Linked DNA regions of Struthio camelus. The protein of the gene in region 1 binds, or shares a complex with, the protein of each later gene. Links are inferred from orthologs where the notes say so. Each region holds a gene or a part of one and is shown on either strand. Other genes may lie near its edges. The genes, in order: TXNL4A, LSM8, LSM7 and LSM3.

Evidence for each region.
Region 2: TXNL4A (region 1) and LSM8 share a complex: the UniProt entries of both Homo sapiens proteins name them as parts of the precatalytic spliceosome. The link is inferred for Struthio camelus from reciprocal best matches to the Homo sapiens genes TXNL4A and LSM8.
Region 3: TXNL4A (region 1) and LSM7 share a complex: the UniProt entries of both Homo sapiens proteins name them as parts of the precatalytic spliceosome. The link is inferred for Struthio camelus from reciprocal best matches to the Homo sapiens genes TXNL4A and LSM7.
Region 4: TXNL4A (region 1) and LSM3 share a complex: the UniProt entries of both Homo sapiens proteins name them as parts of the precatalytic spliceosome. The link is inferred for Struthio camelus from reciprocal best matches to the Homo sapiens genes TXNL4A and LSM3.

Annotation. Positions count from the first base shown.
Region 1 is NC_090943.1:94,314,420-94,321,250, forward strand, and holds the start of TXNL4A (thioredoxin-like protein 4A), read right to left. Parts: upstream 3,009-6,831; 5' UTR 2,852-3,008; exon of another isoform or gene 2,749-2,851; intron 2,738-2,748; exon of another isoform or gene 2,628-2,737; intron 2,522-2,627; 5' UTR 2,501-2,521; coding exon 2,348-2,500; intron 1-2,347. Other genes in the region: probable 2-ketogluconate reductase, read left to right, coding at 4,633-4,830. UniProt on the Homo sapiens protein: Plays a role in pre-mRNA splicing as component of the U5 snRNP and U4/U6-U5 tri-snRNP complexes that are involved in spliceosome assembly, and as component of the precatalytic spliceosome (spliceosome B complex).
Region 2 is NC_090942.1:28,358,661-28,366,651, forward strand, and holds the start of LSM8 (LSM8 homolog, U6 small nuclear RNA associated), read right to left. Parts: upstream 3,001-7,991; 5' UTR 2,722-3,000; coding exon 2,691-2,721; intron 1,587-2,690; coding exon 1,546-1,586; intron 126-1,545; coding exon 1-125. UniProt on the Homo sapiens protein: Plays a role in pre-mRNA splicing as component of the U4/U6-U5 tri-snRNP complex that is involved in spliceosome assembly, and as component of the precatalytic spliceosome (spliceosome B complex).
Region 3 is NC_090967.1:1,465,043-1,472,439, forward strand, and holds the start of LSM7 (U6 snRNA-associated Sm-like protein LSm7), read right to left. Parts: upstream 3,009-7,397; 5' UTR 2,898-3,008; coding exon 2,892-2,897; intron 2,549-2,891; coding exon 2,458-2,548; intron 954-2,457; coding exon 882-953; intron 1-881. Other genes in the region: SPPL2B (signal peptide peptidase-like 2B), read left to right, coding at 3,139-3,198. UniProt on the Homo sapiens protein: Plays a role in pre-mRNA splicing as component of the U4/U6-U5 tri-snRNP complex that is involved in spliceosome assembly, and as component of the precatalytic spliceosome (spliceosome B complex).
Region 4 is NC_090955.1:9,035,140-9,042,078, reverse strand, and holds the start of LSM3 (U6 snRNA-associated Sm-like protein LSm3), read right to left. Parts: upstream 3,015-6,939; 5' UTR 2,872-3,014; coding exon 2,851-2,871; intron 1,705-2,850; coding exon 1,594-1,704; intron 452-1,593; coding exon 356-451; intron 16-355; coding exon 1-15. Other genes in the region: XPC (DNA repair protein complementing XP-C cells), read left to right, coding at 3,032-3,122, 4,446-4,656, 5,542-5,669, 6,506-6,629. UniProt on the Homo sapiens protein: Plays a role in pre-mRNA splicing as component of the U4/U6-U5 tri-snRNP complex that is involved in spliceosome assembly, and as component of the precatalytic spliceosome (spliceosome B complex).

The DNA.
Region 1 (6,831 bases):
ATGCCTAGCAGACTTGTATTACTAAACTGAAAAAGACTGCAAACACAGCAAGTACAAAGTTGAAGGTCTATTCCATCACTGTTTACTTTTTTTTTTCCTCATTCTGAATATGATATTGCAGTTTAGGTGTTAAATTTATATGTCCGAAGAGAAAGATGACATCCTGCCAAGAGCAATGCTTATGGCTAAAGAATTTGAAAACTATGGATAAGAGTAAATGGATTAGCTTTCCTCAACTTTAATTGCAAACACCAGTGACTAATACCAATGCCATTTGTACAGGCCCCTTCCCTCCTTTTTTCTCCCCCTCTTCACTTTTCCTGCAGTCTTAACAGAAAGGCAAAGAGGAACAACTGATGTTTGAGCCAATCACAGCTATTTACACTTCTGATTATCATCAAGTAAGTGCAAAATATTGGAACAATCCTCTCTAGACCAGCACTGACCCAATATAACCTATCTGTTAAAGGGACCTGGCTTCAGGAAAGGTCACCTGATTTACACTATTATGTTCTAAACAAATCATGGTCTTAAAGCACTTTCATCACAATTAAAAAACAAAAGTATTACAGAAATTTAGCAGTAAAAGCTCCACACTTCAGGGGATGAGCTTATTGTAAAGTGAAATTTTAAAAAAGTGTCTTTATAAAGAAAGTGCTCCAGAGGAATTTTGGACAACTCAGTTCTTAGATTTTTGCTTCAGCATGATTTTAACTCTTCCCTCCTCCCCCCAAAAAAGACATTCTATAGCTATGATTTATTGTGAAGCCTTGCTTCCTTCTCAAATATAACGCTGAAAAAAATAACGTAGGTTAACTCTATGTAGAGTACATATCAGAGAAAATCACCTGCTTTGTACTTCTGTATGTCGTTCTAGTTTCTCTTTCCCCAAAGGATTCAAACAAACAAAAAACTAATTTCAAAGTATAAAGTACAGAAAACATCACTGCTACCCAGAAATATGCTGCAGATTAAAAACAAAAGAAAAAACACACCATGGTACCAAATATAAAATACAGCTACATTTTCTTCAAATGTAGCATGCAATCACAGCATGTTAACATTCTGTATTATTCTCTAGTATAAACACCTGTACAATTGGAACTTTTACTCACTCTTTAAAACAGCTGCGAGATCCAAACATGGCTTGTAAGCAAGAGGATGAGGAAGGATCTCCCCCTTTAATTTGCCATTTCTGCAGAGGGAGATTTTTAAATAAGAAGTTATATTGTTCTTTCTTCCCCCAATCACCCTTAAGTGCCAATATGTCTGCCAAATTGCCAAGCATCCTGCCAAGAGCAGATACTAACAGTATCCAACTATAAAAAGCTCCCATCTTTAAATACAAAATGACTAAATTAAACTATGTCACAGCAGTCCTCACCATACCCTATTCTGTCTTAATATTTGATTACAGGTACAGATCTTTAACCTTAGGGATCTGAAAAACAGAACAGGAGCTTATTTACTTAAAAATACAATTAAAAGAGAAAGGAGTACACCAGGATCACAACTTCACTCCAAGTTATGCAATACGCACACAATTTTATACGAAGGTAGCTAACTCCTTTTCCTGCCTAAGGTTAAATATTAACACTTGTTGCTCAGATTTCTTGCTTCCTTTTCTATACGGTTCAAAGAAGAGCTGTCAACTTTCAACGTATGATGCTACACAATACCCTTACCACAGAAATGAAGAGGTAAATCATACCTGATTGTGTATGTTAACACAGACTAACTCTTCTTCAGTGTGTACGTGTCTTAAGTGACTGACCTACTGTAAGAAGGCACTATTTCCATACGAAAAAGCTTCAAAGCCTGCCTCAGTAGGTCCTAACATTTAATTCAGCCCATGCAACTCAACGGAATGGCATCCGTTTACACCAAGAACATCACTGATATGCTAATCAACATCTTCCTATACGTTTTAGGGTCTTACCATTTGTAAGTGTCAAATTAGAATAGTTTTTTAGATCCAAATGAAAACCTGCAGCTACTATGCATTCTAATTGTAAAGTGACGGTGCTGCGTTACCTAACATCATAACATTCCTACTACCCAGCGCATGTTTCTGTTTGAACGCTGGCGTTCATTAAATGAGGAATTATTAACAAGCAGCAATTCCGACTTTGGGATTTGCAGCACTCTTTTTGTCCCATTGAGCATTACAAACAGCAGGGCAGCCGATCATTTTTAGGAAACACTCACGGAAGCAAACAAAATAGCTTTGCTGCTGCCTCGAAACGCAGAAACACCTCTCCAGAAACTGAGCCGTAACCTGCCTCCGTTAGCCACCTGAAACACGGAGTACAGGAAGCGAGGGTACGACGTTACAGTTGCAGTTTACCTTCTCCGCAATGCTGTACAAGACTTCATCCATTTTCATGCAGGTCGGATCCCAGTCGTGCCCGAAGCGGATGACCACCACTCGGTCCTCCTCCGACAGGATGGCCTGGTCCACCTGCCAGCCGTTGTGCAAGTGCGGGAGCATGTACGACATCCTGAAGGGCAGGGAGCGGGCCTGCGGGACGACAGCAAGCGCCCGGCAGCTGACAAGACAGCCCGGCCTGCTCACACGCCACCCACCGCCCGGCAGAAACGCCCTCCCGCTCTCCCTCGCTGCTCACAGCTTTCCGCAGCGGCACCCCGGCAAGCCCAAGGCAGCGCGTAACGGCCGCGGCGGCGGCGCCGCCGCCATGGCGCACGTCGCCCCCACCCCCACCCCACACACCCAGCCCCTTCCAGAACCTTCGGCGCGCGGCTCGCGCCTGCCCGCACACAAGGCGCCGCGCGCCACGGAGGAGGCGCCTCCTCCTTCCCCCTCTCTCCCCACCCGCGCACCGCGCCGCACCCCTGGGGCGTCCTTCGCTCAGCGGGAAAGAGCGACCGACCAACGGCGGCGGAAAGGGCGGAAGTGACGAAATGCGTTAGCGCGACCGGGCCCGGCGCTGGAAGGGGGAGGAGTGAACAGCCCTTCCGCCCTGGTTGGGGGCGGGGCCTCCCTCCGTGGGCGGGGCCGGCCCGGCCGAAGGGAGGCCCGTTGGCGCATACCAAGTCTCAAAACTGGGGGGGGGGGGGGGAGAGGAGCAGACAGCTCGGCCCGTACCAAGCCGGAGAGAGGGGATTGAAGGGTAACCAAAATGGCCGGTGGCAGCCGGAGTGGGGGGACCCCGGTGCTTGGGGAGTCTGCCCGGGAAACTGCACTGGCCAGCTGCCGACCGTAGCCTTGCTTAGGTACCACTAGGTTCTGTCTCCTCTTGCAACCGAAAGGAGCGTCCTTGAACACCGCTCGGTAGATATTCCAGCTGAAGTGGTCCTCAGTGAAACCATGAGCTTTGCATCGCCATCGTTAGGTTTCAGAATCAAGTTGACCATTGAGGTAGGGCATCCCCGGCCAATCTTTTTTGCTTCCTGAAAAGCAAATAAATACTTTTACATGGTAACTCTCATTTAAAAGGTTAGTTTGCAGGAAATAGGGCTAAAACCATACTTTTGACTACCAAAAATCCACACAAGCTTGAGCTAGGGCATTGGCGAATCGTCCTACAGTGGTAGATGGAATTTGTATCAAATTACTTTGCCACAGAAATGCAAAGCTCTCCGGAAACCTGGATCAAAATCCTCATCTCACACAATCTCCTTTCTAGATAACTCAATTTCGGGAAAGTGAGAAAGGAGGGAAGGTTAACCCGGTCTCAGGAGAAAGCCCTCTTACTTCAGAGGGCCCCGCAGCAACGCCCGGTGACCTCCCATCTGCGGGCTAGACTCCCTCAGCGTCTCCCACTGTGTGTCACGTTTTTCAGCGGGAATATTCGCAGACTTTGAGGGAGGTTTCCTCCTGACCGAGACGTCAGGCAGCGCAAGAGTTAAGCGAACGTACACAGCAGCTGCTGGCTGAAATCTCCCCGCGAGGGTAGGAGCAGGCGCAGCGTGGAGCTGCGCGCAGGCGGAGCTGGGACAACCTTTGGACCTCGGCACCCAGACGTAACAGGGGCCCGCGACGTAAAGATCAGGAAATTGTTCACTGTTGATTCCTCGCGAAGCGGTAAGATAAGCAGAAACGCTGTTAGAAAGAAACCCATCCAGATTAATCCTTTTGTTACCACCCAAATAATCGGTTTTCTTCCACAGATAAGTTAGTGGGAGGAATTTACTCTGGGTAACTTAGGCTATTAACTTGAATTTAAAATAGAGCTAGGAAAATTTGCTGTCGTTTGGGTAAGTCTGGTGATGCAGCAGTGCCAGTCCACAAATCTGAAGGTAGTGAGTCAAGCTCCACAAAAGTAGTAGGGCTAGCCTAGAAAAACGGTGACACTGACATGAATACTTATACGCCGTTCTTTTATTTGCCTGTTTGTCCCAACCTAGGAGTTGTGCTTTCAAAGTTTTCCCTTGCAATGCTTAAGGACCTGCATATACATACCTTATTTCAATATAGATCATTATGTATGCATCCATAAATGAAAGCAGACAGTCTTATGTAAATAGAAAATGTGAGGCGTCACAGGCTTTAAGAAGAATTAAGAGAGTTCGCGATACTGCAGATGACACTAGTCCAAAACCAAAACTGTCATATCCTTAACAGGTATTACATTTAACATACTGAACAGGACATCTGATATCTGAGCAGTTATGTTCAGGGGCAGAACATATGGTCTGTTAAAATCTCTTCACTTGATGGATGGCCAGCCAAGTTTGGCTTATAAATTTCATCCAGCTATTACTTCTCATGTACATCCCTGTCAAAAGAGGAGTGTGGATTACAGACAGAGCTACAAGACAGGCCCAAGTAGTGCTGGAGGAAGAACACTCAATGCTCCTCTAACTAAGGTTAGTATCTGGAGAGACCCCTGCCCTGCACAAGATTCCTTTAAGTGTTTTTAGTTTACTGCTATCTATCTATATATATATATATTTTTTTTTAATTTCTCATTGTACTTAGTACTAAAAGAAACCCAGCCTTTGAACCAAAACCACAGTGTTTGAATGGTTCACACGCACATCAAACGTGGCTGAAATTGTGGCACATTCAGCACGTCTACCGTACTGAGAAGATGGTTTGTATGAGACTAGCCTGTTTTTAATGTATGAGCTGGTTAGTTTAAAGCTAAATCAGCCTTCACTGTGTTGCGCACTAGCTCCCCCATGAATCACCTTTTTGTTTGCAAAGTTCAGGAACTGCTTCTGAAATAAATGCGTGTTTGACTCTGACCTTCATGAGCAGTGTGTTGTAATGAAGGAGAAACTCGTGACAAAAGCAAATGATGTAATATAGTACTGCCTCCCCGGCATCTGCCAGTCAAGTGATCATATCTGGCGCTCGGTTCAGTTGCTACCCAGTCTAAATAAATTGCTGCAATATCGTCAGGTTCTGCTCATCAAGAAGTTGGACAGTGCTGCTGCAGTGTGTCATTAGCTCTTACATTTTATTCTACAGACAGTTAATTCTGGAGGATGAATTTGATTTATCCTTAAAAGGTCATATTGCATGATACTTTACAAAACACTGACTGCATGTGGGGAAATTTGCATATTTTTTCCAGCCATGTGGGGCTGGCAGAGTTCAAAATACGTCATCTGGGAAGAAATAATTAGATAGGTATTTTTCTGAAGTAGGGTATTCGGAATGAATAATGCAATATTCAGAACTGTTCAGAACCAGTTGCTGTTAATGGATAAATTGTTCATGGTGAGCTGCAGACACGCCGGTCAAGGCCCAGTCTTAACACTTAGACCCCTTCTAGCCAGTGTCCAGTAGCAGACTCGAACTGAGGCAGAAATACAGATCAAGGCCAGTATAAAGCAATAAATAAAGCAATATGACTAGCGCCGAGGTTGTAATCGTTGAAGTGATGCAGGTGAGGTAAGACTGGGTTTGCTCAGGACAAGGGGAAACACAGCTCGACAGAAACTTCTACTCTACGTTGACACCTTTTTGTTATTCGTAGTGTCTGAATGTCTGATTAATCTCTGAAGATTTGTGTGAGAAGACTGGGGCAGCAAGAAGTTTCTGCCTAGCACTGTGTGCCCAGAATTGATCAGAGTGCTGCTGCAGAATATAAGTTCTGATTCATATAGTCGTATGGCAGGTTCCCAGGACCCAGATCTAGGACACAGTATGTGACAGTCACTTAAAGTAAGTGGAATACAGCAAAGAGAACCATAGGAAATTAGACAAGAATGGTGTTAAACATGTGGTTCATCTTCAACTATTATTTTTGCCAATAAGGGCTGCAGATTTTCGCCTCTAGTTAGGTGCGTGGCTATTTGTGGAGTCCCTGTTTTAGTGCAGGGTGCGATTTATTTGCGTGGGCTTTTGCAGACAGAGCTGGGCTCAGAACTGCCTGGGCATGCAAAAGCTCTAGTCTGAAGGACTGTGTTGTCAGTGGGACTTACACTGGCATCTCTAGCACTCTTTCACCACTGTTTCGGCATATAGGTGCTGTAAAAGTACTGTTTCAGTGCTTTTAATGCTAAACTGGGGGGAGGTAAGTTCAGGCGCAGATCTTAATGTTTGAAACACTGAAGACAACCAGTGCAGCAGTTGTCTGAGGATGGCCCTTCAACATGTAAGTTAGACCTAAACCATTCCAGACGGCTGTTTGTCAGACCTCTTTGATCCCCAGTGCCTCCCTAGACTACCTGCTGCTTCCCCAACCATAATCCATAGTCAAGAAATTTTAGGTAACTTTCTAGCAACCTCTGTTATGTCATACCACTGTTTATATTTAAACAGTAATTGTGGATAAGATTGAGAACCTACCAGATCTGTATGAAATCAGTATGGATTCAGGACTACAATGAAACTAACTTGACAACTACACTTTGTAG
Region 2 (7,991 bases), on another chromosome or scaffold:
TTATCACCTCTTACAATGTATAATCCTAGTACAACCTGTTCAACTCCTTGTGAAGAACTGAACACTCGTTCATGGCTTTCATCCAAAATCAAATTAATGGTCTGATCAAAACCTTTGAGGGTTCCCTGAAAAAGCACACAAAAAGTAAGCACTTCAATAACCTTTTAAATTTATCATCTTTGCTCTCAAGGGTATCTTAAAAAGTAAAGTGGCGCTAAGGTACTACAGAACAGATGCTTTATTTCAGTTTTATTTCTAAGCTTACATACATACAGATGGAGAACAAAATTTTAAAAGCAATAATCAATTTAAGAAGAATATCTAATATTTACTACTGAGTATTCATACTAACAGCTACTGTAATCTTTAACATTAGAAGAAAAGCAGTTGCCCCTGTCCCCATGACAGCTCTCTAGACAGTTAATGTTATTATTTCTACAGTATTTTAGTCTTTCTTGTATGGAAATTTCAGGAAAGAAAAAAAAAAATCAAAGAACAGAAAAATTAGATTTTTATATTCAACAGCGCTGAGATCATTTTAAGGAGCAATTTTAATTGGTGATTCTGTAAAGGAATCTCAATTTTTTTCCCACAAAAAAGCTCCAGAGGAAGAATTTCTGTACCACTTCAGTATGAATTTAGAAAAAAAAAAAAAGATAACATAATCAATTGCTAAATTCCACAAATCAATTAAGAAATTTAAATTTACACAAGATACTATCACTTAAACAGTAATAATAACCATTTATACCATCTAACTGTGTGACAACAATTCATATATACCAATTCAATTTAAATCTTTGTGGTAGAAAGGTATCCTGCATCACAACCAAAGTTTCCCAGACTGGCTCCAACAAGACAGAGAATTGTCCAAAGCTAAGATATTTCTGCTGAAAATACAAACTTCCTAGCTTTATTTTTTAATGTTTTCTCCTTCCAGAAGCCACACTAAACTGTATACATATGGACAGGAACATATAATCCTCATGCAATGATCATATCATTAAGTTAAACTCAAAACATAAAAGAATATCAGAGAGGGGGGAAAAAAAGAGAACCATGTGAAAATAAAGAACAGTGAAGCAATAAAAATAAAACATTATACAGTCTAACACAGAGTTGTCAGTCCTCGGCTTTTCCGATTTAAACAGAATTCCACAATAAGTTCTTAGTTATCAACTATGTTTTTTCTGTAAGCTTATGGAAGAAATGTTTTTAACATGAAAGTTAAGGTAGAGAGCTTACTGAAGAAAGGGTGCACTGAAGTGAAAAAGAAATGCATTCTCTTATCCGTTTCTATAGAAAAAGCCATTTACAAAGAGTCAAAACAAAGCATTTGCATGTATGAATTTATCAAAGGGCAAAGCTCACAGGCAACAACCAGTACCTGTTTAAATCATGCAATACAAAATACCGGTGATAAAGCTTAAAAAAGAAAGTTTGTAAAGGCGTGAACATTTAAGTGTGTATGCTTCAGCATTGTTTCTTTATTCCCATGGAAGAGTCTTTATGGTAGCAAAAGATGTGTAAAAGTACAAGTCTCACCACAATCATTCTTCCATCAGAAGTAATTACTGCAACAGTACCTGATAGTTCATTAAGGAAATGCTTTGAGACATCTGAAACAGAACCACTATAACTTTCTGAAGCAGTGATAACGTAAACTTTATTAGGAACTAGAAAAGCCTTTAAGAACAAAAGACAAGCAGCATTGTTAACAGCAACATTTGACAACAGACAAGCTCTCTTTTTTATTACACCAGTCAGCACCAAAATTTCGCTTTAGCCTGACCACGGAGCCATAAGCAAACACGATCATCATTAAAAGCACACTACACATCAGAATTCCACTGCTCTTCCCATTACACAGTGTACTGCTCCAAGGCAAAGCAGCAGACTATCAGATAGCAAGTGTGTAACAAACTGTTTTATAAACACGATGGACTGCCACTTCGAGCTGTGTCCTTAAAAACAGCTTAGCGGTGGGGACCCTGAGTCTGGCATTCTACCTCCCCTCACTCTGAGGCTCTGACTACCCCAATTTAATGATCACATTTCCATCGACCTGACTGACTATGGGCTAGGACCTCTGCATTTGTGAATTAACCGAAATTAGCCATAGGTCGCTAAGAGTACCGAAACTTCGCAAGAAAAGGGTTCCAAGACCACCAGCTCCCAGCTTTTGAGTGAACGGCGTAAAGCTGACGGCTAAATAGATGTTAAGAGCCCGGGTCCGCTGTGTCTGCCTCTTCACAGTAGTATCGGCAAGGTCTGAGCGCGCAGCCCTGGGGTAACCCTGCCGCAGCACCAGAGGCAGCGCTGTTCTCTCGCTCCCTGCCAGCCTCCGAGCCAGCCCCACGGAAAGACAAACCGAGCCAGCGGGGAAGGCCCCAGGCAACGCTGCCTCCCGCGGGAGCGGCCCCGAGGAGGCCAGAAGCCCCGGCCTTTTCCCAGGTGCCTGCCCAGGGCTGGGCAACAGCTCGCAGGCCGCACTCTGCCGCGCCGCAGGCACCTGCCGCCCGCAGCACCTCCAGCGCCCAACGCCGCGCCGGGCCCTGGCCCTGGGCCCCGATCCCCCCGCCCGGCGATCGGCCTCCCGCGCGCGCCAGCGGCAAGGCGAGGCGAGGCGAGGCAAGGCAAGGCGAGGCGAGGCAAGGCAGGGCCCGTCTCCCCGCGCGGCACAAGGATACGGTTGATGTAATTCTCCAACGCCGAGGTCATGGCGGCGGCTCCCGCGCTTCGCTTCGCTTCGCTTCACCTCGCGCCGGCGGCCACCTCCCGCGAGACAGCGGCCGCGAGACTGGCGGCGCCTGCCGCTGACGCGCGACCCCGCGCGCAGGCGCGCAAGGCCCGCAGAGGACCAGGAGGAGGGCCGAAAGGCCGCTTCAGCCGGTGCGCATGCGCGGCGCGGCGAAGGGGCACATTTCAAATGGCGCGACTGTTTCCCGCGCTCGCGTCGCATCGGTGCGCGGAGCTTTCGTAGGTGCGCATGTGCTGAGAGGCGCGGGGAGGGGGGGGGGGGACGGGGAGGTCCGCGTGGGCTGTACCAAGTAACGATGACGGAGGGGCGGGGGGCAGGAGGCGCAGGCGCAGCGGCTCATTCCTTTGCCGGCTCCTGCCTCGGCCCGCGGCTGCGGAGTGGCTGCAGTGGGCGGTGGAGGGGCCGTTTGCGTGCCCGGCTTGCGGGCTGACTGCCTGGGAATAGTATCTCTCTTGCTAACACGGGAGCCAGGTTTCCCTCCTAAAACGTAGGAGGGTGACGGAGTGTCGCCCCCTCTCCTCTCTGAGGGCTGCCGCTGTGGGGTGGGCGGGATGGCGGCGTGTTGCCCGTCGGGGCTGGCTGCCTGCGGTGGGGGGTGGCCGTCCGGGGCTACCGTGGCAGGCAGTGTTGCCTGCGAAGTCCTCTCCAGCGGTGTTTTCAAAGGAAACGGTGGATCCCTGGGTGCGGTGGAGGTGGGAGGCTTGACAAAGGGAGGGTTGCTGTGCCCAGATCCCATGGTGAAACGGGCATGGCACCAAACTGCAGTCTGTGTGAGCCCGGCCCTGTTTGGCCATGTCTCTCATAAGCGGAGGGTTGTGCTACTTTTTTGAAGAGATACAGTAGTTAGGATTTCTCCATCCATGCAAAATTGTACATGTTTTGAAAAGGTGTGCAAAGGTCAAGTAAATGGTGATGTTTATGCATGAGGTTGGATTTTGTGGTAATTTCCTTTCATCCTAATCTGTAAACCTGGGAATGACAAATGCCAGTATCTTCAAGTACTCATACCATTTGGCTCTTGTATAGCTTTAACTTTCACTAGCGTTCTTCCCTTCTCTTCTGCTGGCAGGTTATTTCTTCTCACTTCAGCCTGATTATAACTGCCTTCCATGCTTCTTGGTCAGTCTTAGTTACTGTACTCTGTTTCCTCAGCCTATTCAAAAGTCCTGTGAAATAGAGGAGTATATTAAATCTGCTGGACTTGATGACACTGGAAGAACATTTGCAAGAATGTTGGGAGCCTGCATAGAGGAAATGTCTCAGCAAATTTAAGTCAAGACATTCAGTAACAACTAATTTAAGCTGTAAAACTGATTCCCTGTCATTTGTTTTAGCCCTTCTTCCCTGTGGTGGATAGTACAACCATTGTTAGTATGTAGCAGACTTTCAGAAATATTTTGCAATATGTTGTACATGCAGACATCGGCTGCATTTTCATATATAAAAAGTTGTCATGAATGAATCCCTCTAATGCTATTTGATAATACAGCAGTCTGTTGGTGGGTTTTGACCCTGGGAAATATGCTCTAGAGGACCCTGCTTGAGCAGGGAGGTTGGACTAGATGATCTCCAGAGGTCCCTTCCAACCTAAACCGTTCTTTGTGTGTGTGTGTATCCAAAATAGTGCACAGGTATAACCTCCTGACAGTTCCCAGAGTATAAATAGTATACTTAACAAATTCTCTGAAATGTGAAGTAAATGCCCCTGTTTCAGCACCACTGCACAAGTAGTCTTTGTTATAACACTTTAAAACGTATTTTCTTCTGCCTGCTTTTGGTTGTAGACAGTATTCACTGGCTATTGCACTGACTACTTAGCTTTTCAGATGTAACACTGTATGAGAAAAGTTCTTTCAAAGTGGAAAAACCAATAGTGGGCTGTTTTTCATCTAGCGTATCATGAAATGCAGCTGCATACATTCTGAACTAGAAAAATATAAGTTGTAAATTCATGACCTTCAGTAGACAAAATACTGTCTTGGGACTCAGAATATGGAATTCCCTTCCCTATTCTGTCAATGAGTTTTTAGATAACACTGAGACAGTAATTTCATCTCTGTCCCAGTTTTCCAGTCTATTGGTGAGAATAGTGATTGTGATGGCCTTCATAAAGTTATTTAAAATAACATTCAAGCTGCCTATCATCAGGAGATTAGATTCCCTGGAAGCACTGCATAGACATTTGTAGGAGAAAACTCTTCCAAATAATATTTTGAAGAAACATGAAGAAATTAACTTCATGAAGAAAGTGATTATCTTGCTGTCTGGGGGTTTCACATGTAAATTTCCTAAGTCTTCATCTATGAAAGGCTGTATCTTTTCATACCTAGAAAAAATGATCGGGCATTTAAAACACGAACTGAAAATTTGAATTGTCCACTTCATTCCCAATTCTGCCAAAGAAACACCAAGTAACTAGACACAGATCAGGTATCATCTTTTGTTCTCGCTGACTGATTGAGGCCTGTAGAGAAAGAGTCTCAGATAATGTAGCAGAAGATGCAGAAACAAACTAGGCCAAATTAAGGCTGCCTCAAACATCTCAGTTCTGCATTCCATAATTTCTGTGTATTTGCCTTTCAACTGTAAAAGTACTTTGTGATTCTTTTTTTCAATTTGCTACACACATGCTACTCTGAGTTCAGATCTTCCTACTTGCTTTTATTTCAATGAAGACTTTGGTGACAGATTAGCAAGAGGTGCGTATTGTAACTCTATGTCTAACTCCTGTTGAAGTTAATCTAGGGAATACCGTTTTCAGTAGAATGCTGATTATTTCATTTATTATCTTCACAGCTACTTTAAAGGAAGCAAAACAAAGGTTTTTAAGGCCAATTAGCCAGAAAAAAATGGATGAACACCTCCTGGAACCTCTGAAGGTAACTGCACCAAGCCAGTTTCTCAGGAATTTGCCTGATGTCTCAGGCATTATCAAAACCATGACAAGAGATATCAGAGAACATGAAATACTTTTGCAGCTGAGCATTGCATAATGCCTGCCCTCTCAAGCTCTTATTTTAAAAAGCTTAATTGCCGCTGAACCTTATGCCAGGGTTGGAAGTAATTACTATGTATTACATTTAAGAGGCCGAAGATTAATTTCTGTGGTGTTACATTTTCTTTCTCCTTTTCCTGCTTTTGTTCTTCACTATAGACATTTTCAAAGACCAAAAATATGAGAGTAGGATACAAGGATGTAGGATAAAATCTTAAATACTTTCATGCCCAAATTACCTCAATATCTGATCCCCTAAGAATCTAGTTTATCTCTTTATTTTAGCAGTGTCTCTGAAGAACACAGAAGGCATATTTTTCTTATTTTGTAAAAGAAGGACTAAGACTTGAAAAATAAGGCTTAGATCTGGGTTCCTGAAGTTGGGTACCCAGGCTTGGCCACATTAGGTGCTTCACAGCAGCTAGCCCACTCAAAGGAACTGCTGAGAGTGTAATTCCCACTTCCTCTGCTCAGGCTCTCTCCACCCTGGCCTTGAAGGCAGGCAGCTATGCCCTTCTTTTCAAAGTCTTAATTTAGGTTCAGTCTTCTGTTTGAAACCACCACTAATGCCATTTTCCTCTTACATAATGCTCCACTCGGGAAGTGGAAAACTCTTGATTTAATTCCCCCATCTGTTTGAAGAAAATTAGATCTCTTCCACCTCTTCCTCTCGGTAGTGAACTTTAGTAGTAAGTTATAAAGTGGGACCAGAATTTGCACTTTTGTTGAAGCTGTGCCACATGCAGAAAAACATCCACCATCTATTAGGCTATTTATTAGAGCACCAAGAAAGAATCTGAAACTGTGGTTAAACTACTTGTCCACTAGAGGGAAATCTTGGCTTCTTGTTGCTATTTACAGGGTTTCTTTCAGTAGAGAAATCCAGTGACCTTTAAGGTGAAGTGAATAAGCAGGCTTGAGCATCATTTCTCCCTAGCTCATCAAGATCCCTTGAGTCTAACTTTAGAAATTAAGTAACTAAGTCTGAGCATGTCACTGTAGGCCTTTACAGAGAAAAAAATTAGTTTTCTGCCATATGCAGAGATGTATTTTCCACTGAAGATGTCTGTGTCTCTCCATTGGCTATAGAGTGAGCCTAGGGTGACTAGCTCAGACATAAGACATTTCACTGTTTAACACTTATTTTAGGCCAGATAAATTATATTCCTGGTGACCATAATTGCCAATGTAACTTTGGTTTCAGGATCAGAAACCTGCAGCTTAGGTACCCTTTTGCTCTTTTCTGCCCTTCAGTTGCTGCACGGTTGCCCATCAGGACACACTGAGTAACTGAATATGAGTGTAATGGCCATAGAGCTCTCAAATAATTGAAGAAACAAAGCACCTGTGTAAAAAGCTTTTCCTTTTCTCTTACATTTTCTAGCATACAGCTTACTTGATAATTATACTTACTCCCATAATTAAAATCAGGTTTTTGTTTTTGTAAAGATTCTCCTTACATTAAGATTGTGGTGGGTGGTTGCTGTATGTTATGCTTTCCATAGGCTATATAACCATCTAATCATGCCCTAGAGTGTCTCTGCACACTTTCCTGCTTCATTATGGTCTGGCAGGGCGGGAAGGAAACCCCACAATGGTAGCTGTAGAGTGTATTTGTAAGCAGTTACTGGGTGTAAACTTGTTATCTGGCCTAAAGTTGCTGGGACGGATGAGTGAGTGATCTGCTGCTGCTGTCACTGCGTATTGTTTATCAGTTTTACATCTCCCTAAACATGCTGGCCTCTGGGGGCTTTGCTTTCCTTAGCTATTAAGAAGTAAACAGGTTTTATAGAACCAGCCATGCTAAAGGGTGAAACATCTTTGTAGAGTTCTCACAAGAAGAAAGGCCTGTGTACTACCACAGTGCCAGGGTATGTCAAGTTTAGTGATTTCCCTGTCAAAACTGATGGAGAAAGGTTCAAGACTTACTGCTCTTCAGGCTTCCCTGAAACCTGAAGCTCTAGTATAATCACCTGATTGCAGGAACTGGAGCTTTAAGAAATTTCTTTTAACAAAACACAAAATTGGGCAACATCTATTTTGATCTGTTCAACAAGAATTGCATCGCCTAGTTGCTGCTGAAGAAAAAATAGCACTTAAGGCCAGGAATAATGAAGTGGTAGATGCTGAAGAAGAGAAATCAGTCAATAAATACTCCAGAAAAGAACTAAACACCCCCAGATCCCCTGCATCTGATTTTCTTGATTCTTCTGAGAGTAATTCTTATGCTTTCTA
Region 3 (7,397 bases), on another chromosome or scaffold:
CCATTCCAAATACCCTTTCAGACAAACATTTGGGCATCAATGCAAATCAGACAAAGACCCTGACTACAGAACGCACTAAACAAATTCCTTGTTCGTCTGTGCCCAGACTGAATCAAGCGAGACAATGGATGGGGACAGACAGATGAACATTCTTAACACAGCAAGAGCCAATTCTACACTCCTTAAGATGTCAAAATATTTTGTAAAAAGGCACTAAGCTCATCTTTCAAAATTCCCTCCTAAGAACAAAATTAAACTTTGAGATGCTTCCTTGCAAACAGGCAAGGGAACACTCTAGAAAACAGATTGCCCCCTAACATGAGAAGACGCTTTCATTTAAGGGAGCAAAAAGGGGAAGAGGAACATTTGTGCTTGCAGGGGAAAATAAAACTAAAAATCACAGCTGTGCTAGCCTTAAGAGGTTATAGAAGGCTTTAGTTCCACAGAAATGCAAAGATCGCACTAACAGAACAGTTTAAGACAGTAAGATACCAATTTTTACTGAGTTTTTTTTCATGCTGTGTGTGAACTGGCCTCCTCCAATGGTATACACAAAGTGAAAGGCAACGGCCTCATTTAAGAGGACAGAAGCTACTTCATTCAAGTGCTGGAGGACAACAAGGACCAGATGGGTTATAGGGGAGGTCAAAAAGGACTAATAAGAATCCTCTACCACAAGCAATGCCCCTTAACCTAACCTCTGTTATCTTAACCCTTCCTTTAAGCATAGTTAACTGTGAACAAATCTCACTTTGGATGATCTCAAGCTGCAGTTTCTGGTTATTCAACTCACAGAACAGAATGTTTTTTATCAAGCGAAATATTTGGGGGCAGGGGGGAAGATTTTTTTTTTTAAAAAACACAAATCGCATGTTACTTACCTCTCATATATTCAATGGTACCATCAAGCACAAGGTTCAGAAGAGGGTCAAATCCTTTCAAGACTCCGCTAGCTATTAAAGACCACACAGAAAGGAACGATTAGAGACACCCCCTGCCAAAAAATAGGACTGTGGCAACACAGGACTCAGTTCTCCAGTTCCAGGCCCTCCTCCCTCAAGCAAGGCTATCAAACAAGCCAAGCCAGAGATATTAAATAGTGCCCTCTTTATCACAATGCAAATGTAAAAGCACAAGCTGAAACCGGTCTGTGTTGTGTCAATGGAAGCCTTCAGGTTTTTCAGCCAGTTCTTCAAAATGTTCTTCAAAACTTTTACATTTTTGTTATCAGTCAATTTCAGGGGCATTTTAAGAATACCTCAGCATACAAATCAACACAATTTATATCATTAAAAAAAGCTCTTAAGGAAGATGAATGGGAAAATGAACCAAGAGGATAATATTTAAGTGTTTTCCTCAGGTGACCCATCTTCCAGGTGTCCTGTCTTCCGTCCTGAATTGTAATCTTTTCAACATAAGTATTGCTTTTATAGGGATACATTGCACAGAGCCAAGCACTTTGGCAGGAAACCAAATACGAATCTACAAGACTGGTCAGTAAAGAAACTGCAGGACTGCACAGAATAACTTTCCATCTTGAAAACATCTATTGATTACCAGCATTACGATCATTGCTAAGACACTAAACCAAAAGATATGACTCCCATAATCCTATTTAAAAAAACAGAAAGAAACTTGGAGCAAATTTTTTGATAAGAAAATCTAAACCAATAGAACTAATAGAATTGTCAATTGCCCCCAAAAATACAAAAAACCCACTGATCAAAGATTCCTAGTAACTTTCAAAACTAGTAAGCATCCAGAGCAACTGGGAGTTTGAAAATGGTATTTTAAAACAAACTCAGCTAGCCTTGCAAAAGCTTACGCAGAGCACTTCCACACAGCATGTGAACTGTCAGACGAACAAGTGTCTGCAGATGGCACTATCAGCTGCTTAGTGATGGATATATGCTAGCAGAGCAAGGACGGATGAAAGGGGAGGATACAAGAGCCTTGAAAGTGACGAAAAGATCTTGTAAAACATGTTAGAATAATCTAGGAATTCAAAACAACAGGCAGCACATTCAGGAAGTTAACAGATGAAAGGGAAGACAGATGTGTTGCTCTGAAGCTTTGTTTCTTTTGTGCTTTAAGTGCATCCTTGCAATAAAAACAAACAAATAAACAACCCCCACCAAAAACAGCCAAAAAGATACTTTAAGAAAACCAATGGAAGATGATGAGAAAAGGACACAAAGAGGATGAAACACAAAGATAAAATAACAGTGATGGGGGCTACTGGAAAGATTAAAGGCAAAACACAATAAGAAGCTTCATACCTGTAACAGCAAATAGCAACAAAGAAAAGAATCCATTACTCATCTTTTCTTGAATGAAGGCAATATGATCACATAGGAGACAAAAGTTGACACAGAAGAGGAGGAAAAAAGCCAAGATGCAAAGTATGCTGCAAATTCACGTGCCTCACTACCAGCCAAGTGCTGCCCGTAGGCTCACCTTCTCTCCCACCTTGGAACTTCACTCGGATTGTTTTGTCAATGTATTTGGAGAGGTCCAAAATACTCTCCTTCTTCTTTTTCTCCTTATCCTAAGGAAGTTGACCAAAAACAAGCTAAATTAAAACATCTCTGCACGCACACAGACCCCGGGTGGGGAACCATACCACTAAGGCAAACCTCCCCCAACACAGAGCTAAAAGCGAAGGCGGAGCGGGGGAAACGGCGAAAAGGCACAGCGACCCTCCGCGCGCGGGCAGCACGGGGCAGCCGGGCCCGGGCATCTCCCAAGGCTGGGAGACCGCAACTACACGGCCCCGCTCGTCGCCCTGCAGCGGCCGCAGCCACGGAAAGACGGTGACGAGCCCAGACGCCACCTCCGCGTGACTGCTCCCTAGGCGAGCACGAGCCCCGCAGCCCCCGCCAACAGCTTACCGCCATCTTGCTCGCGCCGCCACTGTCCTCTCCCCGCCGCTTGCCATTTCATTCGCTGCTGCCAGAAGCAACGTCAACACCACAGGCCATTTCATTGGCTGTCCACAAGGGCGACTCGCTCCTCCAGCAGGCGTGGGGCGGGACTTCCGGAGCGGGTTGCCGTGTTACCTGGTGCGGAAGGGGGCTCGGCCCGGCCCGGCCCGGCCCCGTCGGAAACAAAAGCGGGCGGCGGCGCGGCGGGCCCGGCATGGCGGCAGTACGGCAGGCCTGGCTCCGGGCCTCGCTTCTCCTGCTTTTCATTGCGCAGGTGAGTGGCTGTGCCGTTCCGAGGAATACTCTGGGCCCGCTCTCTCTGCGGGGCCCGGCGAACCCTACCGGGACGGAGCAGCAACCGGGCAGAGACTGGGCGTGGGGCAAAGCCTGGCTCTGGTGCAGGACAGATCCCAAGAGCCCGTTGGGGCTGCGGGGACTTGGGGGGGCTGGTACCCGGCCTCCGCTGAGCCGGAAGGACGGCCCCAGTGGTATGAGGGGGCCGCAGCCGTGCTCCCGTAGTGGGAGCGCGGTTCCGGAGCCGCCTCCCGGGTGTTAATGACCGACTTACAGTATTTTCTTGCTGGACGAAAGAAGAAAGCATCGTTTTTACCCCAAACCGGGCTCAGGTTTGTGTTTTGTGTCTTCCCCGATTTACGTGTTTCTTAATCTCTTTTCCTGTGGTTAGCAAAATATTTGTCGTAGCTCTTGCAACATCGGTTCCCTGTGCTGCTAGCAGTCTTCTCCAGGTGGTCCTTTGGGAAGTGTGCCTAAGCCACTGGATGGGGCTGGGATCAGGGTCACTGCAGCAGGGAAGGCTCTTGGCTTTGAGTTCATCCCAAGCAACAAACTGCCTCTGAGAAAGCAGCTGTTGTAAAGTAAAGCAAGGTTTCTGCTGAACCTGAAGTTATAGACTGTCTTGATTTTTGTCTTCTTGTTCCTCATCTGAACTGATACCTTTTGTGGGATAAACTGTATTTCCAAGGGTCTTACAGGAACAAGCAAAAATTTTAAAATTTCTTTAAAAATCTCCCCACCACCACCCCCAAACATGCATACTGATTCCTTGCCAGTGATGTTTACTTGCATAATGGGCAGACTGCCAGCTAAGTTCTTTTTCTGTGCATCACCTGCTCCCTTCCTCTGTGCTTGCCTGTCCTGCACACTGTTGGTGTCTCTAATAATCCTTCAACTAGACTAGTGCTGCCAGCCTGGAGCCCTCAAATTAATATGAGAGAAGATGTAAGAATGGGTCAAGGACTGGCATGGAGTCATTTTTTTCCATCAATTTTGAAAGGGTGACCCCCATGAGAGTGTGGAAAGATAGCAGGTAGGATAGTCCAGTGGTTGAGCCCTGACACTTGAAGGTCTTGGCTTCAATTCCATGCACTGCAGCTTGCTTCCTTTCTGTAAGCAAGTCATTTAGTATGTTTGTGCAGCAAAGTAGTGTAAGCATGGTTGAGCAAGCTTTGAACAAGTCAGCTGGAATACTGAAACAGTCATGCTGCAGCAGCAAAGAGTTAACTTACTATATGCTGCTAATGTATTTCTGCTACCCAAGCTAGCTCATTTACAACTTCTTCGAATATAAGTAGTACTGTCTGTTTGGTGTATTGGGAGTATATCTTTCTTCCTCTCCCTACTGAGAGGTGGGATGGCCTTTTTCAGAAGATGGTCCAGGTTTGCTTCTGAACTGAATTAAGTAGGGAGAAGGAGCAGGCTGGCTAGTGAAGTATGGTTCTCCTAAATATAGATCCTCATCTGGAAGCAGCAGAAGAGGGGTGCGATCTTAGAGATCCAAGTACAATCTACACCTAGAGATCTTGTTTTGGCATCTGAGTCCTCACTTTTCATTTAATTTCCTGTCATTCTCACCTTTCCTTCATGGTTTTGCCATCTCTTGGTTGCTCTGTAACAATAATGAGGTATAGGAACCTTTGACTAATGCAGAATATATAACACAATCTACAGTGAGCATGTTAGCTCACTGCCATTAGCTAGCTGCCATTATTTTACTAGCTTTTGGTAGAATATTGAATTGAGGTCGTGGTTTCTGTTTTGTAAAATCAGTGTTCTGTGATGCAGGTCCAGTAGGTCCAAGAGACTTCCTGAAGTTCTAGATTAAGATGGCTGACAACTTAATCACATGAAACTGTCACATTATGAATAGTGTCAATTACGAACTCTCTTCCCACTGTACAGTGCCTGTTAAAGGAGTATTGTCTTTGTCTGCAAATTTGTTGTCTGCTATTGATAGTCATTGCGTTGATTATGCAGCTCACAGGGGAAGGAACGCACCCCACCTCCTGGTAACTCCACTATTTGTCTTGCATGGTTTCCGCTGTAAGAGTAGGCATAGCTCATTATATCTTTTTTTTTTTTTTTTTTTTGGAAGGAGGGGGGAGGAGGAGCTATATTCCCTGAAGAAGCAATAGTGTCTCTTAAATCTCTAAGACAATTTTATCCATTGATGAAGTTGAGGAAAAGCTGTACATGCAGTATATTCTAATAAGGGAAAAAAATTAAAGAATTAGAAACAAATTACTCTAAGTTGCAAAAAGAGGGGAAAAAATACAAGTCAATAGCAACCTGGAAATTGTGTTGTGTTTTCCCTGGATTTTTCTCCATGTGCTTTTCAGCTGTCAGAGCTATGGGTCATTCCCAGTCCTTGTGGGTAATTGCCATGTAGTATGGGATTTCTCTTGGTTGTTGGGACTGCCTGAATCGCAAACAGCACTTCATTCTCTGTTTATCTTTGTGCAGAGGAAGCTGCTGCTTATGGTGTAATTCTGTGAACCAGTGTCTCCAAGGTAATAATTTTTCTTTTCCTGTGCTATAGTGTACATCATTCTTGTGTCAGCATCACTGTTCACCCAGATTGTGCTAGAAACTGCATGATTGGAGTGACACAGTTAAACTTTTTGAGGATTATTTTTAATTCTTGTTTATTAAAAGGACTTGACTTAAGACCAGCTCCCCAGACAGCTGTGTTGACACAACTGAGATGACTATGAACTCAGGGAGAGGGTTGTGAATAGGCAACTATTTCTGCCAGCTTTGCTGCTGAAACCAGCATCTACTAGGACTGTATCCTCAGTTGTTCAGACTGGAGGATTGTGGTCATAAAGCACTGTCTTCTCTCCTCCCACTATTGCCATACAAATTTGTAATCCTAATTAGTGATACAACTTCTCTGTGTATACTCAGATTCATGTGACCTCCTTACAGTGTAAATTGCTCCTTCTAATGATCTCTTATCCCTTTACTGTACAATGTCATGCCTTAAAGGTATACAGTTTATATCTGTTCCTGTCTTGCCTCTTTCCTCTTACTGTAGATGTGCAAAGGTTTCTATAGGTACCTGTAAGTTGAATCACTCCACTGCACAGCAGGAGAAGGTGGCTTTTTTCTTGTTCTGTAGGGCTCAACTTGAGCTAAAATTTGTTGAACAGTAAGCCAATACTGCAGTTCTGTGGTGAACTGGATCAGAGAATTAATACAGCTGACAAACACTGAAAAAATAAGTATTTATGAATAAATGTGTTATTTTTCAGTGGAATCAATTCAATGATCCAAGTCACTGTAGATGCACAACTCTATTTGCACAAAGAGGGGTATCACGTGAGAAGAAATACTTTACAGTAGGCAGGAAAGGGCTGGTGCTGCTGGTAGCGATGTCGTTGTCTTCTGCCTTAAAACATTAGCCTTAGGCTGTAGTTCCCTGAGCCAATGCCACTGGAAAGGTGAGATTGTTCATACTCATTTCCCAGCTCTTTGCTCCCATTACTACCTGTGTGCCAACTCTTGCTTGTCAGGTCTCTCTGAAATGATAGAGTTAATGTAATTGCAACTAGCAGTAGCCTGGCATGAAAAACTGATAGTGAGCTCAGTCAGCTCATAGTGATCTAGCAAGTATCACAGGTGGAACAAGTGTGTCTGAGGTGCCCAGATGAGTCTGGAGATTAAGGGAGGGAGGAACAAATGGCAAGAGTGAGCCATGAGGTTTGCTCAGCCTTTCATGTCACAATTCCATGAAATGCAGATGTGCTAAATTTCTCTTTGCCACCTTCTTCACTTCTTCCATTACTTAATTTGTGAGCCCTAGCGTTTGTCCAAATTCCATTAACTCACCAACATGACAAAAAACTAACTCAGGAAAAAAGTGGTTTGCTCTCTTAATGTGTTAAATAGGCCATGGAAGGGTCTGATGAGGATCAGAGCAAGTAAGTGTGCCCTTCTAATGGCTGCAAACAGACTGGCTTAGTTGCCTGTGTAGTTACACCCTCAGACTTTATGCTTTTGTTATGTGAAAGCCCTTTCCTAGTTTTGCAGTGTCATGTAAAAACACCTCACTTGTTAATTATGATTCTAGCAAATTTCCAGCTTTGCAGAGATCTTACTTGTGACATGGCACTGCTATTGAATATGGGTGCCTGATTAGTAAGAGTCTTTAAATATAAATATTGTTCCTAGTTA
Region 4 (6,939 bases), on another chromosome or scaffold:
ATTCCTTTTGGTAGACTAAGAAGAAGGAAAGAAAAGTTTACATTTACAAAAGTATAGTTGACAGAACACATCTGATAAGTATGTGACCAAATTCAATCATAAAAAACACCAGAAAACTCCAACAAAAGTAAGCTTGACTTTGCAACTTATTGGCATACTGAAGAGATCAGTACAATTAATACTAAGTCTTTGGACACTTCATACTTTCATAAGAATCTGCCTGAAACTTTTGTCAGAGCTTGGCCCAATAAGTACTAGCAATAGCCTATTTCAAACAGATAACATTGTTTAGTTTAAAAAAAAAACACCACCACCACACATCTTTCTACAAGGATAAATACACTGAACTCCTTACTTTATAAATCTCTTCATAGGTTTCTTCATCAATCTCTATTGTTGTTACAGTTTCTTCAACATCACCCAAAATCATATTTAGGTGCTGATCATATGCCTGTAGGAATGAAGCTCATTATTATTTTTACAAAGTTCAAACACAAGCTCATTAAAACGAGAATTTTGATGGAAGCGTGCCACTATGTTAAAGCAAAGTAGTATTAGTTATAGTTAAATTTTCAAATATAAAGGCAGACAAATCAGTACTCTGCAGCATGAAAAAACCCACTGCCTTTATATTCACAGAAATGCTCTTCCAGGAAATGGCTTTGAAGCTTTCAATGAGAATGCATGCAAAAACTCTGATAGATATATTTATCCTTGTCATTTATTGACATTAAACAAGCTATACATTCTTTGCCACCAATCCAGCCTCCTGGGATTGATTATCTGGGGCTAACTTAAAGCCCCACAAAAACTGAAAGCCACAACAAAAATTTTACAAAAGTGTTCCAAATACCTTCCAAAACCATATTAGAAATTACTATAACCAGATCTTCATGGATATGTCCTCATCATTGAGGTCCCAAATGAGTTGGGGCCTGGTTAATATATGGGACAACTGGTTATCTTCCCCAACACAGTAAAGTACTCAGGAAGGATGACTGGCTTAACAGAAAAAGAAAACTCTCTCATTAAGTGATACACCACTATCAGAAAAGAATGCACTTAAACAAGTCAGATTTGCAGAGGATCAAGTTGAGAACATATCCCATCGTATCCTTATTAGGCGTAGCTTAACAGTCATTTGTTTGATAATGATAATCTCATTCTTATTTCAATCTTAAATAGACCTCAATGTGCTTTACAAGAGGGCATCTGCGTCATTATGCTCATTTCATAAACATAGAAACAAAGGCCAAAAACAGTGGAATGAATTGGTCAGTGTTATCCAGAGGACTAAGAAAGAAAAAACAAATACACCTCTTGAGTCTCTAGAGCAGCATTTTATGGCAGACAGAATACTGAAAAAATTAGATTTTGCTACTGTCATCACAAAAAAAAGCTTCTGAGAAAAGAGGACCAACCTCCGTCAGTAAGACGACCTTTAACTTACTTTCTCTAACCACTTCTGCACTTTTAATCACAAGATAGTTACATGTGCTTTTAAACTAGTTATTATATAAGTTTGCCTGTAATATTATGAAGGCTGCTGTACATGAAACGAGCATTGTAGTACTGTGAAAGTGTTCTACTTACATGTAGTCTGCCTCTAAGTTCCCTGTCATTCCTCATTTTAACATAGATTCGCTCATCTAGACTGAGTCTGATGAGATCAAGTGGCTCCTCTACAGTATTTGTTGTTTGTTGCTGAAAAGTCAAATTAAAAAAGAATCATTTACACAGAAGCAGCTTGGGAACATCTCTGTTCCTCAGTATTGGTGAGAAACACAAAAGAAAGGGGTAAGAACACAAAATCAAGAACTCTGAATCATTCTTTCAAATCCCACTGTATCTTCGGGCAATTGATATTACCATTCTATGAACGTTTAGCAGCACGAACAAAATTAGCTGGCACGCTTCAACTTAGGCTGCAACAAATTGTGCTTCACAAATGCTGTCAAAAGGGCCACATGCCTTATCGGCAACCCTTGGCCGCGCTGCGGCACAAAGCCCAGCCTGCACAACTAGCTCTGAACTAGCTAGCTTAGGAGCCAGTGCCACAGCTGTGGCACCACACAGCTTAAGCTAGGAAAAGTGAACATACGCTCTCATTTCCGCCAGCGTATTGGGGTCAGCTGGGTAACGCACAGCCCCTCCTGCCCCAGCCACGCACCTCTGGCTGAGGCGCCAGCACAACGGCATCAGCTACGCCAGGCCTCACAGCGGAGTCAGAAACCTGAACGCCAGCAGGGCTGAGCCGCTCTCTCGGTGGTAAAGCTGAGCTTTCAGGACCGCAGCCGAAGCGCAGGAACACCCCCGTCTACCTTCCCTAGCACACGACCTATTGCCACCGCGGCGAAGCCTCACGAACGGCGTTTTCCTCACTTCCTCCTCCCGCGGCTCCTCAGGGAGGCCGGCCCGGCACTGGCACCGCCAGCAGCCCCCACACTCAGAGCCCCCGGCAGCAGCGCGGGGACCCCGCTATACCCCCGTATAGCTTCGCCGTAACGTCTCGGCCCGGGTGCGGCGGGCGGGCAGCGCCTCACGAAGGCTGCGCGGGGGGAGGCGCAGCCCGGGCCGGGCGCCGCGAGCCCCCACGGGCCGCCGAGCGTCAGCAGCCCGCGGGGCACTGCCGCCATTTCATGCCGGCGCCCCCCGGCCCGGGGCTGCGGCCCTACCGGGGCTGGCGGTCACGGGAACCGGCTCCCCGCGGCGGGAGAGAAGGAGGGCGCCTAGGCAATGGCGGCAGGAAGGGCCCCGCCGCCGCAACGCTCCGAGACCGGGAGCCAGAGCCGGGCCGCGGCGGGGAAGGTCTCCACGCTGCCTCCCGCGCTGAGAGAAGAAGCCGCTCACCTGGTCCACCTCATCCGCCATCTTTCAAACCGCCTCGCGCCCTCTCCCGCGAGACTTTATGGCCCTGCCCCTTCCCCTCCGACGGCGCGGGGAGGCGGGCGGCTCCGGCCGCTCCGGGCGGGGACAGCCCGTCCGCTGCCGCGGCAGCCCCTTGGGCGCTCGCCTCCGCCGCCGGGGCGCCATGGCCAGGAAACGCAAAGCTTCGTCCCGGCCGGCGGCTGCCGACAAGAGGCGGCGCGGGGGGCCGAGGGCGGCGCGGGGCGAGGCGGAGGGTGAGTGCGGGCGGCTGTGGCGGGCCTGGCTGGGCGCCGCGACATCTCTGGGAGGCGCTGAAGTCCCGCCGGGGCCTCGGGCCCCTCCGTTCCCCGGGGGGGCCGGCGCGGCCTGACCGAGCGCCCCATCCCGCCGGCTCCTTGTTGGCAAGCTGGGTTTTCTTTCAATAAAGACGGGGGAGCGTAAAGACCGGGCAGGGGGCAGCGCGGAGGGGAATCCAGCCGCTCTGTAGAGCTGAGAGGTGGCGGGGCCCTGTGAGGGGGGCCCGGCCCGGCCCGGCCCGGCCCGTCGCGGCGGGCACCGAGCCGCTCGGGGGCTCCTGCGCCCGTGCTTCGTGGCGGAGCGGGAGGCTCCAGGTGGGCTGATGCCCGCCAGATCTCCGCGACCTTCTCTGTTACCCAAACGGAGGGGATTTCAGCTCGCTCTTAGCACAGCCCTGGAGTTCAGCAGCCTCTGGTGTTGGAAAGGGTCATGAAATAAGACTAGAAGCTCTCTCAACTCGTGTTTGGTCCGTCCCTGCCGCTCGTTTGCCTACGTAGTGCGACACCGCGTTATCCCGGGCTTCTCCCACGTCCTCGCTCCGTTTGGGATATTTCCCTCTGGATTTTTCCAGAGGTGTAAAAGATCGTTTGGTGACTTCCCTGAACTGAATTAGCTTTTCTGCACAGCCCCAGAGGGGGTATGACTGAAATACATGAATTAGGGATTTAAATCAATGCACGAACTGTCCAGCAGGGCCCACACAAAGTTATCTGGAGGACGTTAAGGGTTTCACACACTGATAAAGGCTGGAAATCAGGAAGCAAGCGACCTGTTAAGGGTCTGGCTGACCTTAGTTATGACTCTTCTGTGAAAACACACCGTGCTGTAGTGTCCCCCGTGTGTCACCTGGAAGGTTGCTGTTATATTCAGTGGTCAGCGTCCCAGGAGATGCCTTAAATAAAGTTCTTCTGAGTAGCTTTACAGAATAGTTGTCTGAAGAAAATAATTTCTTACGAGTGGTAAGTAGGATGCTTGTTTTTCAGCTGCTCTCATTGGTAAGACTATAGGAATCTTTATGTATTTTTCCCACTACGTTGCTATTGTTTAGTAACTAACACTACGTTACTAACGCTACAATTATTTTCTTTTAACTGTTGTTGTTGAGTTATTCCCTATTTATTATGCAAATACTCAAATGGTATTCTTTATGAATGTTCACTTTCTTCTGTAGCTGGTAGGTGAAATTCTCCTCTAATGAACAATGTGAAGGTATTGCTCCTGACTGCAGTGGAGGTGACATTTCATCCTTTGGCATATCATCCTTTCATCCTTTCTTCTAGCTGGTGCGGATGATTTTGAAGAGAAAAAGCCCAATACAAGAAGGAAAAACTCAAAAGTTCCAGCTAGAAAGAGGGAAGAAGACTGTGGTACTGGAGTTTGCAGCTCAACAAGTAAGACTTCAAAACAAAAAGGGGTAAAATCAGTAATAAAAGAAGAAAATAAGAAAACCACTGAAAGTAAAGGGAGTCATAGTGAAGAGGAAATGTGCAGGTAAGTTCACTTACTGTTCATTTTTAGAGCCTATATGAACTCTTTATTCATGATTATATGTTTTTGTTTAGGGCCTAGTGCTGCAAATTGGTGTATGTGTAGCTTAATGTAAACAGAGTTGGCCTTGAAGAAGACGGTCTGTGGGGGAAGCAGATACGTGAGCCTTTTCAAATTCAATAGTTTAAACCTAAAATTTTTTTAATTTGTTATTCTAGTTTTTCATGGGGCTAGGGAGGTTTCATGGAACCCAGCATGTATAGAAATGTTGCGGGGAGACTTGAGTTTACAAGTATCAGCAGAAACCTTTAAACATATCATTTCCCTGTGTTTTTAGGAATCCAAATATAAGAGCAATGTGGTCTTCCCATGGAGGTTGCCATAGCAAAATTAATTAATAAGAAGACATGAAACTGATTGGTTGGTCTCATTCCACTGGCCAACTGGCCACTAATGTGTGGTGAAACAGAAACAGTTCTGATTTCAGTACACTTTGATGAAGGTTCAGTAAGAAGAAATGATTCAGTGAACTAATTCTCCAAGAACGCGTTTGTGCAAGCTGTTCTGAAGGATGGGACCTTTTGTACGTTCAGGCATCTTCCTTCTTAGAAAGCCTTGCGGAACCAGGACTTAAGTTTACACTGGAAAAAATGTTACCCCAATGAGCCCATGGTTGTTTATGGCACAGATGCTTTGCTTTACAGAGAAGGCATCTGTATTCACATACCTTCAAATATTCAAAACCTTTGTGTCTGTTGTTACTGATACAGAGGTCATGCTTCATTTATTTCCCTGTTTTTAATGTTTCTCTTTCTCTGTGTTTTTTTTTTTTTAATAAACAAGCACCCGCACTTCCCAATGCTAAAGCCATTTTAATAATTTCCATAGTGACTCACTGAAGCCACCTCAGGGGGAGAAAAATTTGAAGAGAGAATCTCCTGTTAAAAAAGAGATGGATAAAGACAATGCTGACGATGATGATGATGAAAGTGAAGATGAATGGGAGGATGTGGAAGGTAACAACCTTTTATTGCATTTTATTCATATTAGGGAGTAAATATTCTTATATGCAATTTTTTTTTGTAATTTGGTTATTCAGCCATTTCTCATTTGATTCAGGTAGGTGAGTTCTGTGTACTTAGAGTATCTTCCATGTGCATATCTGTATCTTTTAAAGCTGATATCTCACAATAATGCTAAGAATTTTTCCAAAGTAAAAAAAGACCAAAACAACCACTGACCTAATGCAGTGCCTTGCATTTGACAACCTGCTGATTATGTTAAAATGATGCAACTTCACAGCACTTTTTCAGCTGTTTGGGTTATCTAGTCCTTAGAGAAGCTAAGAATGAAACAGTTTGAAGATTCAAAACTGTGACTTCCTAGCAAGGCAGGATGGAGATGAAACCAACTGATCTGTTTGGTCAGGTGCCCCTCAACACACTGTGATGAGAACCATGATGATCATAATTTTATATTTTACTGCTATAGATTTATGCCTTCTAACAGGAAGAGCTATCCGTTTCTTCTTTTCTCCTCCGCAAGCACCCTTTAAGTCACACCTGCATCATTTTACTGGCCTTTCTCCTGTTTGGGTTTGTGACAGAGTGACTTGCCATTAGACTTTGCTGATCGGGTTCCTTAAGAGCAGAGTGACTAGCATCCCACAGCTACCTAAAACAGCTGAGCAGACTCTGCTATAGAAGATGCAAGAACTGGTAATTACTGGGGCGTTCTGTTTGTAGGTTGAGTTTGAGCAGATGATTGGGAGCGGGTAGGTTCTTATCCCATTGGCAGCCCTCCCAAGAGCATCCATTCTATGTGGATTAATTATAATATTTTATTTTTCCAGAACTCCAGGAACCTGTCATGGATAAGTTAGAAGAAGATGCTGTTGTTCCGGCAGCAGAGCTGCCAAGCAAACCAGTTGAGATAGAGATTGAAACCCCAGAGCAGGCAAAGAAAAGAGAGAGAAGGTAAGAACAGGGGAGGCTGTGAGGGGCAGTGAAAGGATGTTTAAAAGTTGAAGCTATGCCCAGTGTTAACTGTCACTGATTTGCTCTGTTCTGGGTGAAAATCCCCAAACTGTGCAGGCTGTTGACTTGGAATGATTTGAGGTAATGGGATGGAGGACAGTTTACATCCACAGAGGACTTTTCATCTGACGTTTTTATCAAAAGTCTTCAATGGAAGTTGGTGGGAATGGAGGCTTTTCAGCTTCTTTGAAAATCAGGCCCCTAACTTCATTGTGCATTAGTGTCCCCATCTCCAAACCAGGGATAGTAA